3 linked regions of the Canis lupus familiaris genome follow. The main gene of each other region encodes a partner of the protein of the gene in region 2 in a complex. Links are inferred from orthologs where the notes say so. Each region holds a gene or a part of one and is shown on either strand. Other genes may lie near its edges.

The links.
Region 1: the proteins of TNNI2 (region 2) and TNNC2 are in contact, whole or in part, in a crystal structure (PDB 1A2X), measured with the Oryctolagus cuniculus proteins. The link is inferred for Canis lupus familiaris from reciprocal best matches to the Homo sapiens genes TNNI2 and TNNC2. Residues at the interface, in NP_001076252.1 of Oryctolagus cuniculus: Glu5, Asn8, Arg9, Ile11, Thr12, Arg14, Arg15, Gln16, His17, Leu18, Lys19, Ser20, Val21, Met22, Leu23, Ile25, Ala26, Glu29, Leu30, Glu33; in NP_001076114.1 of Oryctolagus cuniculus: Ser13, Glu15, Met16, Ala18, Glu19, Ala22, Lys91, Leu96, Glu98, Cys99, Arg101, Ile102, Phe103, Arg105, Ile119, Phe120, Ala122, Ser123, Glu125, His126, Val127, Glu131, Ser134, Leu135, Asp138, Phe152, Met155, Met156, Val159, Gln160.
Region 3: the proteins of TNNI2 (region 2) and TNNC1 are in contact, whole or in part, in an NMR structure (PDB 2MKP), measured with the Homo sapiens proteins. The link is inferred for Canis lupus familiaris from reciprocal best matches to the Homo sapiens genes TNNI2 and TNNC1. Residues at the interface, in NP_001139301.1 of Homo sapiens: Arg116, Met117, Ser118, Ala119, Asp120, Ala121, Met122, Leu123, Ala125, Leu126, Leu127, Lys130, His131, Lys132; in NP_003271.1 of Homo sapiens: Asn18, Glu19, Phe20, Ala22, Ala23, Ile26, Val44, Met45, Met47, Leu48, Gln50, Pro52, Glu56, Phe77, Met80, Met81, Cys84, Met85, Lys86, Asp87.

Annotation. Positions count from the first base shown.
Region 1 is NC_049245.1:33,759,904-33,763,529, reverse strand, and holds the start of TNNC2 (troponin C, skeletal muscle), read left to right. Parts: upstream 1-970; 5' UTR 971-1,091; coding exon 1,092-1,094; intron 1,095-2,515; coding exon 2,516-2,567; intron 2,568-2,690; coding exon 2,691-2,834; intron 2,835-2,922; coding exon 2,923-3,037; intron 3,038-3,173; coding exon 3,174-3,310; intron 3,311-3,441; coding exon 3,442-3,473; 3' UTR 3,474-3,626. UniProt on the Homo sapiens protein: Troponin is the central regulatory protein of striated muscle contraction. Tn consists of three components: Tn-I which is the inhibitor of actomyosin ATPase, Tn-T which contains the binding site for tropomyosin and Tn-C.
Region 2 is NC_049239.1:46,531,074-46,534,699, forward strand, and holds TNNI2 (troponin I, fast skeletal muscle), read left to right. Parts: upstream 1-963; 5' UTR 964-1,075; intron 1,076-1,519; exon of another isoform or gene 1,520-1,553; intron 1,554-1,675; 5' UTR 1,676-1,697; coding exon 1,698-1,705; intron 1,706-1,880; coding exon 1,881-1,887; intron 1,888-2,400; coding exon 2,401-2,442; intron 2,443-2,536; coding exon 2,537-2,665; intron 2,666-2,787; coding exon 2,788-2,877; intron 2,878-2,980; coding exon 2,981-3,157; intron 3,158-3,285; coding exon 3,286-3,381; 3' UTR 3,382-3,480; downstream 3,481-3,626. UniProt on the Homo sapiens protein: Troponin I is the inhibitory subunit of troponin, the thin filament regulatory complex which confers calcium-sensitivity to striated muscle actomyosin ATPase activity.
Region 3 is NC_049241.1:37,720,312-37,723,937, forward strand, and holds the start of TNNC1 (troponin C, slow skeletal and cardiac muscles), read left to right. Parts: upstream 1-890; 5' UTR 891-997; coding exon 998-1,021; intron 1,022-2,567; coding exon 2,568-2,598; intron 2,599-2,803; coding exon 2,804-2,950; intron 2,951-3,416; coding exon 3,417-3,531; intron 3,532-3,626. UniProt on the Homo sapiens protein: Troponin is the central regulatory protein of striated muscle contraction. Tn consists of three components: Tn-I which is the inhibitor of actomyosin ATPase, Tn-T which contains the binding site for tropomyosin and Tn-C.

The sequences.
Region 1 (3,626 bases), on a different chromosome or scaffold from region 2:
ACATAGGCAGAGAGAGAAGTAGGCTCCCTGTGGGGAGCCCAATGTGGGACTCCATCCCTAGACTGGGATCATGCCCTGAGCCAAAGGCAGACACTCAGCTGCTGAGCCACCCAGGCATCCCTCAATGTTTATTTCTCTTCCAAATGCATACCCATCTCCTGGATCTGTAGATTTCTCCTTTGGACAGGTCCCCTCCTGGCTGTCCCAACTTCCCTTCAGGAATAATAAGAATCATTGACATGACTATAGACCTTTGTGATTTAACAAAGCTCCCCAGTAAAAAGGGAATAATAATAGCTTCTCCCCTATAGATGACGACTAGGTGAGATCACATGGTTAAAATGCTTAGCATGGAGTGTGAACCTAGAGGTTCAGTGACTGGCTGTCATTCTCTCCTCCTCCCCTCCCCTGCCCTCTAGCATGGTTCAGACAGGACATTCCACTTGCCAAGCACCAACCCTATAGAGCAGGCACAAGCTCGGCGACTTACACCTGGGCCCCATTTCTCATTGGTCTCTCTGTGAGGGCGGGTCATGACTGTCCCCATCTCCACCTCACAGAGAAGGAAACTGAAGCTCAGAAACTGAAGCTCAGAGTGGCATGTCACCTGCCTAAGAGTACACAGCTTGCAAAGAAAGTATTGGGTTTAAGACTTCAAGGCTCGTGCTCTTTCCTGTCTGCCATGCTGCTTCAACTTTTCTGGATTCTGATTATCCTCACCCATCTTGGAGCAAGCGTGTTTCTTGAGCAGGGGCTCCCTAAAGCAGTGGAGCAGGGCGGGTTCTTCTCCCAAGAATCTAGGACGTCAAGGCCTGCCACCTGCTCACAGGCTTAAATTTCTCTGCAAGGGCCCTTGGCTAAATTAGGTAATGGGCCAGGACTCTGGAATGGGGGTGGGGGAGGAAAGGAGGAGGTGCTCACTGACCCCAGGATCTGATTGGCCAGGGCAATTAGTCCTGGGGAGCAGAGAGGTGGGAGGAGAGGGTGCCCCTACAAATCCAAGGTGCTGGAGCAGGCCAGGGTATCTTTGGGTGGTGGAGTGCTGAGGAGGTGACTGACCTGAAGCAGGGGAGGCCCAGTGACTTGCAACCATGGTAAGGACAAGAAGGAACTTCATCCCTTTGCTTGCTGGAGCACTTCTGGACCTCTTCCAGGCCAGATCTGGGTGCTCTGTAGTTCAGTAATTGGACGTTTAAAGATGGAACATGTAGGCTCCTGGAGCCTAGATGTCTAGGAGGAAGCCTGGGAAGAAGGCCTTGGACTTCTCTAGGAAGGGGAGGGCTGGGTGCTCTGGGATTGCCAACTCCCTGCAGACCTAAGGCTTTGGCAGTGTTGGCCACGGAATTGTGAGGGGGGTGTTAGCTTGTCTCCCTCACGGTGGAGGTGGGGACCCTGAGGGCCAGAGTGAGTCACCTAGCAAGCCAGTGGCTGGGGTGAGCTAGCTGGAGGTCTTGCCAAATCATCCTACTGCCGGTGAGAGGAGTCCTCTAGAAGAAGGGAGGCCTACAGAGCTTCAAGCCAGCTAAGGTGCAGGATCCCAAGAGCTATGAGGGAGAGAAGGGGCAGAAGATGATAGACCAAGGTTAGAGACCCCAGCCTCCCAGAGAGGGAGGTCATTTCCCCTGAGGTCCCTCTCCCCACTTCAAGGGGTAACTAGACCCCACAGGACAGCTGCTGTTGCCCATGCCAGGCTAAAAATAGCCTGCCCTCCTGCATGGTCAAGGAGGAGGGAGGAGGGGAGGGTAAGGAGGAGGGCAGTGGCTAGCTGGCCGCCGAAGAAGGCCTTGGCCACCTCAGCCCCTCCTCCCCGCCAGCCTCAGTCCAAAGTCCCATAGCCAGATGGCTTGGCTTGGATGTGGCCAGATCGCCTCCCCCGAAATCTTATTTCCACCTCCACAAGGCCCCCATTATATTCTGTCCAGCATGATTATGATTTACTCCAATGGCTAAGTGATAAGAAGGGAGCTTAAAATCTCCATCTCCACAAGTTGTCGGAGGGAAGGGATGGGTGTCTGGGTCTTCTTGGCCTCAGTGTCCAGTGTCTGGCCTGACGCTTAGTTGGGGCTCAATGACTCTGCCTTGCATTATTGAGAACATTTACTGAGCCCCTATTATAGTACCAGGCTCTACTGGGAGCTGGGGGACACTGAAAAATGATGCTGGAATAGTGCTGGTACTTTACAAAACTCTTTGACGTCTCTGATCTTTTCATTCTTGAAAAGCAGCTGAGAAGAGCTAGAGTAGAATAAGTGACTTGCCCAAGGTTAGAAAGGGGGATTCCTGACTTGACATCTGATTAGCAGGTTTGGAGACCCTGGGCATAATCTGTTTCCTCCTTGTTCTTCAAAACTGGGGTTCAGGTGCTGCGGGAGCATGCAGAAGGTGTTGTTAGTTTGGAACTGTTCTTCTGGAAGACCAAAGGGCACTGACAGAAAGGGGTTGAAGAGAAGGGGGTTAAGGCAAGAATGAGCTCTGGGGCCACCCCTTCTGCTGGCTGACTCTGTGTCTCCTGCAGACGGACCAGCAGGCGGAGGCCCGGTCCTACCTCAGCGAGGAGATGATCGCTGGTGAGTGCGGGCCGGCGGGCGGGTGGCTGCGTGCTGGGCAGTGCTGGGGGCTGGGCAGGGTGGGAGGGAGGGTGTGAGGCTGACAGTCCAGCCAGGCCCACCTCGGTCCTCTGCCTCGCTCAGAGTTCAAGGCTGCCTTCGACATGTTCGACGCTGATGGTGGCGGGGACATTAGCGTCAAGGAGTTGGGCACGGTGATGAGGATGCTGGGCCAGACCCCCACCAAAGAGGAGCTGGACGCCATCATCGAGGAGGTGGACGAGGATGGTGAGCAGGTGGCCCTCCAGGGGCTGCGACTGCGGCGGGCGGGGTGGGCCCGCAGGGCTCAGGCTCACTCGCCACCTGCTCGCCTCAGGCAGCGGCACCATCGACTTCGAGGAGTTCTTGGTCATGATGGTGCGCCAGATGAAAGAGGATGCGAAGGGCAAGAGCGAGGAGGAGCTGGCCGAGTGTTTCCGCATCTTCGACAGGTGCACTGAGGGCTGGGGAGCCGAGAAGGCGCTGGGCTGGGCGAGTGCGCGGACCAGGCGGCGCGGGTGGGCGGTGTGGGGGTGTGGGGGGCGGCTCGCCCCCGCCTGTCCTGACACCCTGTCCCTTCGCCCCAAGGAACGCAGACGGCTACATCGATGCGGAGGAGCTGGCTGAAATCTTCAGGGCCTCCGGGGAGCACGTGACAGACGAGGAGATTGAGTCCCTGATGAAAGACGGCGACAAGAACAACGACGGCCGCATCGACTTCGACGGTGAGGGCGGGCGCGGGGCGCGGGGCGCGGGGCGCGGGGCGGGGCTCCCACGCGGCCGTCCGTGGCTTTGTCCGCAGGGCGGGAGCCCCGGCGGTGCGTGCGACTGACGCTTCCGCGCTCCATCCCCGCAGAGTTCCTGAAGATGATGGAAGGCGTGCAGTAAGAAGTCGCCCCCGCATCCGCCCCGACGCGCGTCCCTCGGGCGAGGGCGGGCCCGGCACCCCCGCCCCGCCCCGTCACGGCCTCAGCCCCAGGAGGGAGGCGCGGCCCCTGCGGGCTCTGTGTGCAGGGGAATAAAAGCAGACACTGCGAAGCG
Region 2 (3,626 bases):
CTAATCCCCACACATCTGGACGGCTTTAGCTCCCCCTGACCCTCCCCACGGCCCGTGAGGCCGGCAGGGCTGGGGCCACGCACCCCCAGCTCAGAGGATGCCAAGTCATGGTTGTCCGGATGTCTCTGCTGGGTGGGGGCCCCGGGCGGGGGGCGCAGGCCCGGGCCAGGGTGAGAAGGGCAGCAGCGCCGGGCCTGCCCGGGCAGCCAGGCAGGCCCCAGGCCCCTCGGGTCAGGGAGAGGTTCCCAGGCGGGTGGTGCCACCATCCCCGGGTTGAAGGACGGGTTCCGAGTGAGCCAGGAACCACCCCAGGGCAGGGTGTTCCGGCCGGTTGCACGTCCAGGCACCCTCCCTCCCGCTCCCAGGAGGACCGGATCTCAGCCGGGGGAGGGCAGCCCCCACTCGGAGGCCCTGGCCACCGCCACGGGCCATGTTTGGGGGGTTCAGGCCTTGCCCCGGAGCTGGGGCCGGCTTGGAGAAAGGACAGGACGTGGCAGGCTCATGCCTGGGGCACCTGGCCTGGCTAAGAGGCAGCAGTGAGCTGCGGGGGCTGCTCCCAGCGCGCGCGCGCGCGCACACACACACACACACACACACACACACACACACACACCCCGCCCCCCCCCCCCCCCCCCCCCCCCCCCCCCCCCCGGGGAAGCAGAGGGAAAACTGAGGAGTGGCCCCGGGCTCAGGACCTGAGTGACCTCTCAGTCGACCTCGAGCTTTTGCCCTGCAGTGGCCCAGCAAGGCCATGTACAGCTGACCCTGGGCTCCTTGCAAGAACAAGGGAGGCTTCTCGAACATGTCACTGAGCTCTAAATAGAGCAGCCCAGCCTCAGCACCCCCCCCCACCAAGACTTCTTGGACGGGACGACAGCACGCGGCTGGGCCGGGCCGGGCGGCCTGGGCAGGTGGGGAGGCCCCTGTGCCCCCATTGGTCTGAGGAGGGCTCCATGCCCTTTCTGAGCAGGGGCCCAGCCTGGGGAGGCCATTTATACCCCTCCCCCTGGGCCCACCAGCCCAACTTGCCGCTGCCGGCCTGACCTCGCTCCCGGCCCTGCTGCCCAGACACTAGGTGAGGCCAGCCCGGCCAGCCCAGGCCGAGGACAGGCACTCCTTGAGCTAGCTCCCAGGACGACCCAGGGTGGGGTCCTGGGGGTTGGGGGCCGCCTCTAGCAGCCCTCTCAGGGGGGGTGGCTTCCATGGAGCCTGGAGCCAGATGGCGATGCATTGGGAGGTGGCTGGGGTGGGGGGTGGCCAGGGGTCGTGGACAGCCTCCAGATCACCAGCCCTCCCTTCTGGGTGGGACACAGGGAGGAGATCTGATGGGTCGAGGGACCCCAGGCCAAAGCGGGGAGCACTTTCTTGCATGCACTTGGGCCCAAAGCCGAAGGAGCAGAGCTAAAAATAGTGGGAAGGCTCTCGTGGCCACCTGTGCTGGCCCGTCCCGCCCCCCCGGGACAGCTGCAACAACCCGGGCCCCGCCTGGGACATTTTAGGAACACTTTCTCCTCTTCTTACCCTGGGAATCCCAAGATGGTGCCTCCAAGGAGGTCAGAGCTGGGGGCAGGGCAACAGGCAGAGGGCTGGGGTCAGGGTGGCCCCCACCTGGATAACCAGCGTCCAGGGCAGGATGGGCCATGGCCCTCACACCCATGCCTTTTCTCTCCCACAGGCTCTAAGCCCAGGACTTCAGGATGGGGGAGTAAGTGCAGCCCAAAGCTGGGGGCCCCCTGCTGTCCCCACCCTCCCCACCAGGCGGGGGTCTCTACAGTTCCCCGGCTGGCTCTGACCACCCTCCACTCCCCCATCATACTGTCCCATCTATGTCCCTAACCTGTCTCTTTTCTCCCCTTAACCCCCCTGCCTCCCCGGGACAGTGAGGAGGTGAGTACCTGCTGGGGGGGGGGGAGGCATGAAACACAGAGGGGATGGGACCTGCCTGACTTGGGATAGGTCATAGGTTAGAGCACAGGGGCAGCTGCCCAGCCCTCCCCCGTGAGAGTGCCCCACCCAGCCACCCAGACTCAATGAAACAGGAAGTGGCTACCCACGTCTCACAGGGCAGGGGATGTGGGGCTGGGGCCTGGTCACCAGAATCGCTTCTTCTTTCTGAGGCTGCCCCCCACCTCCTGGGCCCTGCAGGGATCCCCTGCCCCTCCCCCTGCCCCTGAGGTACCGCCCCTTTTCCTTTTACCTCCCTGAGCCTTTAAGCCTCACCCGCCACCTGGTCACAGGTGTCCTGGGCCCGGTCCCCCAGCAGGGCCTTGGGACCCCCCCACCCCGGTTCAGTTGCATCCAGGCAGGGTCCACAGGCCTGGTGGAGCAAGCGTGGAGGGATGTGGGGGTGCCAGGGACCCCAACTAGCCCTGACTCTGCTTCCTGCCCCCTCCCCTGCAGAAACGCAACAGGGCCATCACGGCCCGGAGACAGCACCTGAAGGTAGGTGCTCCCTGGAGAGGGCCATCCCAGGGTGCCAGTGGGACTGGGCCACCACAGTCCCTCACCGCCTGCCCCCCGCTCCCTGCCCCTCTAGAGTGTCATGCTCCAGATTGCCGCCCAGGAGCTGGAGAAAGAAGAGAGTCGCCGTGAGTCTGAGAAGCAGAACTACCTGTCTGAGCACTGCCCGCCTCTGCACCTGCCCGGCTCCATGTCCGAAGTGCAGGTACCCTCCCCGAGCGGTGCTCTGGCCTGTTGCCTCAGTTTCCCCTTTGGTCAAGAGGGCCGGTAGGGTAGGTGGAGGTCAGGTGGACAGCTGCCCCACCCCACCTGCTGCCCCCACCCCAGGAGCTCTGCAAACAGCTGCACGCCAAGATCGACGCAGCCGAGGAGGAGAAGTATGACATGGAAGTGAGGGTTCAGAAGAGCACCAAGGAGGTAAGCAGGCATGGGGTGGGCGTGGACGGGTGAGGGGCTCCCCGGACCAGCAGGGGGCCCTGCAGCCACTGCCACCCACCCAGCCCTAACCTCTGCCCCGCAGCTGGAGGACATGAACCAGAAGCTGTTCGACCTGAGAGGCAAGTTCAAGAGGCCCCCGTTGAGGAGGGTGCGCATGTCTGCCGACGCGATGCTCAAGGCGCTGCTGGGCTCCAAGCACAAGGTGTGCATGGACCTGAGGGCCAACCTGAAGCAGGTCAAGAAGGAGGACACCGAGAAGGTACGCGGCACCTCCCCAGCCCACTGAGCAGACCCCCACCACGGCTGGGCTCTGGGCCCCGGGAGGGGGAAACTGAGGCCAAGGGCGGCCTGCAGTGCCTTCCTAAGCCCCATTGCACCTGTCCCCAGGAGCGGGACCTGCGTGACGTGGGTGACTGGCGGAAGAACATCGAGGAGAAGTCTGGCATGGAGGGCAGGAAGAAGATGTTTGAGACTGAGTCCTAGGCCACTTGCCACCCTCTTGCCCGGTGCGGCCCTCCCCCCGCAGAGGGTGGGAGGACAGGGCTCGTCTCAGTGGTTAATAAAGGATTCCAATCCCCGTGACTGGTCTGGTCTGGTCCTGCCCAGCCTCACAGCCCACAGATGGCCTCCAGGCACCCAGCAAACAGCAGCGTGCTGGGGACAGCCCGGGGTAAGGGCAGCGGGGAGGCCGCCGGGCCTGCAGGCCATGCTGGGGGCGGGGCACTCGC
Region 3 (3,626 bases), on a different chromosome or scaffold from region 2:
GGATTAATCCACGCAGTGCCCGGCACTCGAGGCAGGGAGCTGGTGTGGTTATGGAGACGGGGCTCCGCAGGGGGGTGGGAGGGAGGGATGGGCGCTGGCCGTTGGGGCTAACAGGCTGGCCCTGGCCCTAGAAACTATAGTACTGGAATGGGGAAGCACAGACACAGAGATGGAGCCCTAACCCAGGGGAAGACCCCCACCTGGAAGAGGGGGATGGTAACCCAGCTGAAGGGGAAAAGTCTAGCACGGATGGGGCATCTGTACATGTGTGCACTGAATGACCAAATGCAGCTTACCCACACCCAGAGCTAGTGCTGTTCTCCCTGGGGAGATGAGAGGTCTTGGCTATGGATGCTCTGACACCCCTGGGCCCAAGGGCTCCAGAGCACTCTGTGCTAACGTGGGTGAATGACTTCCTTCTCCGGTGGTTACACAACGCCATACTCTGAACTTGGCATTCGAAGCTTCTCTTGAAAGGGCCTCTCTTTGCTGCATACTGCTGGCCAGCACCCTCCCTCCGCAACAGGCTTAGCTTAAGACGGGGGCTGCCAAGTCAGACGTATTCCGAACAAATCACCAGCCCTCCAGGAGCTTAAGTTTCCTCATCTGAAAAATGGGAATATTACCCATCTTCCTGATTGGATAAGAATTGAACTTCTGTGTGTAGGGGCCTGGCCTGGGGCCCACTATTTTTCAGCACCTGTCCTGTTCTTGGCTTATGTTTTCTTTCATTCAAGAAGACTTTCCAGAGAGTCCCCTAGGAACCATGGGGGACAGAAGGAAAAAGATGTGGTCCTTTTGCAGCCCTTCATCTGCTCCCTGCACTGGGCAGAGGACACAGGGATTCAGGCCAGCCTGAGATCACCAGGGCTGGGGGAGGGGGTGGAGGATACTGCAGGCTGGGGTGGGCTGGGCCGGCGGGGAATGAGGTGGGGCAGGGCTATTTAAGCCCAGGGCTGGCTGGCAACCCCAGCAGCCTGCCCTGTGAGCCGCCAGCATGGATGACATCTACAAGGCTGCGGTGAGGGACTGGGCTGGGCAGGGCTGGGGTGGATGGGCCCACTGGGGCCTCACTCAACTCACGATGGGGGGTGAGGTCACTCTACAAAGGTAGTGGGGACCTGGGAGAGGGCCCATGCAACTTTCAGCCCAGGCCCTCAAGGGGATGGATGGTGGATCTGGCATTCTAATTCCAGGGTGTAGAAGGAGTGAGGGGTTTAGGGTGAGGGGTTCAAGGTCTGGAGAGGAGCTTTTTGGAGGGTGGAGGAGGTCATAACTTTTAGCATCACGTCTGCCCCTGTCTCCAAGTGTCTGTAGTCTGTGTCACTATCTTCCAGCCACATCTCCCTTCACTTGTGTCTGTGGTTTTTGGATCTTTGCCTTTATCAGTCTCTTTCTATCTCTTTGTTCCTCCTCGTTGTCCCTCTGAGTCTCTGCTTCTGTTTCCCTGTCCCCACCTCATCCCCCTCTCCGTTTCTGCCCCTCACATTCTGCTCCTCACCCCACCCCCTACCTCCAGCTCCTTGGATGGCTGAAGATGCTGTGGAGGGTGGGACAGTTTGAGAAGGGGGCTGGTGATCCAGAATCCTGAGCTGGAAAAGGGGCTTAGAGGTTTGAGGTAGGCAGGGAAGCGCTAAGCATGGGGGAGACACAGGGAAAAAGGAATCAAGAACCAGGGCCCCCACCCCAATCAGGCCTGGAGGGCTCAGGGGTCAGTGGTTTAGCCAGGGGTGAGGGCTGGAGAGTGGTCACCCTGAGTCCCTGCAGCGTCCTAGGGTCACTGAGGGGCCTCAGATACTAGTCCCTCCCAGGAGTAGGTGGTGTTGCTGACCTCCCCCTGTCCCAGAGGCAAGGATGTTCGGCATAGACAACTGTCCCCAAGGGAACCCCTCCCTCAGCCCTGAGAGTGGAGTGCAGCCTCACTTCCGGGCAGGGGAGAGCTAGAGCTGGCTCTAGGGCTGTCCCTGCCTGTCCTACAGGAGTCCACAGAGCTGGCGGGGGAGGGAGCTGCCCTCCACCCTGTGCCCATACAAGGCCTGGTGGGGCTGGGGACTAATTTTGGCTCCTGAGGCACCAGCAGGCCAGGGGGCCAGATAATGCTGCCCCACCCCCTGCATGCCAGAGTCCCCAGAACAATCACCAGGTTTAACTTTGTCCCCCGTTAAAAATAGCCCAGTGGCCGTCCAGGTCAGGTTACAGTGGGTGGCTTTGCCTATCCCCACACTGGTTTTATTGTCCCAACCTGAGGGACAGCTGTCCCTCAGGCCACCCAGCTTGGATTTCACCAAGGGAGCCGAAAGGGCATTGAGTGGTCACTGACTATTGTTACTCGGGGTCACCTTGGCCCTGGAAGGGGCGCCCACCTGTCACCCTGGCCCTAAGCCCAGCCTCAGTGAGGCCAGCTGGGTCACCTCAGGACTTCGGGGGACAGGGAGTGAGGACTGAGGACTGTGACCTGGGAATGGCCTGCCTCTTCCTGGCTTCACTTTCCCCATCTGTGGAATGGGTTGATTTCCTTAATAGCAGCCAAGTCCTGAATCAGTCCTGAGACCTCTTTTTCTCTCCAGGTAGAACAGCTGACAGAAGAGCAGAAAAATGGTGAGTGCTCCAACATATGTGGGGGTACGACAGGGCCAGGCTGGGGGAGCATGAGGACCCCCGAGGCCGGGGTCCCTCTCACCGCAACCTCAGAGGTCTTGGAGGGAAAAGGCAGTTGGCAGATGGCCCCAGAGGTCTGGCCTTCTGGGATCCTGGCTTCTGAGCCCTGACCACTCTATCTTCCCCTCCTTCCCTTTGGACACAGAATTCAAGGCAGCCTTTGACATCTTCGTGCTGGGCGCCGAAGATGGCTGCATCAGCACCAAGGAGCTGGGCAAGGTGATGAGGATGCTGGGCCAGAACCCCACACCCGAGGAGCTGCAGGAGATGATTGACGAGGTGGATGAGGACGGTGAGCCCCCTGCCCCCCAGACCCTAGACCCACATCAGCCTCCAGTGCTTGGGCCCCAAATCCTGGCTCTGCCACTTATTACTCTGTGCCCTCGAAGGAACTTTTAACCTCTCTGAGCCTCAATCGTGTCATCTTCTGAAATGGATATAATGACCACACTCGTCTCACGGAGTTGCTATGAGAATGCATGCAGCAGGGCACCTGGGTGGCTAAGCAGTTGAGTGGCTGCCTTTGGCTCAGGGCATGGTCTTGCAGTCCCGGGATCGAGTCCTTCATCAGGCTCCCCTGCAGGGAGCCTGCTTCTCCCTCTGCCTGTGTCTCTGCCTCTCTCTCTCTCTGTCTCTCTTGAATAAATAAATAAAATATTTTTAAAAAGAGAGAGAATGCACGCAGCAAGAGCACAGGGGTTTAGTGTCAAGAGCATTCTAACCATCCCTCACTGATGGCTGGGCTGCTCACCTTGCAGGCAGTGGCACAGTGGACTTTGATGAGTTCCTGGTCATGATGGTTCGGTGCATGAAGGATGACAGCAAAGGAAAGTCTGAGGAGGAGCTGTCCGACCTTTTCCGCATGTTTGACAAGTGAGTGCATGACCCAGGATCTCTGACCTGACTCTTGCAGAGGTGGGGAAAGGGGGACAGTCTTGTGACCTCAAGGCCTCAGTTTCCCACTCTGT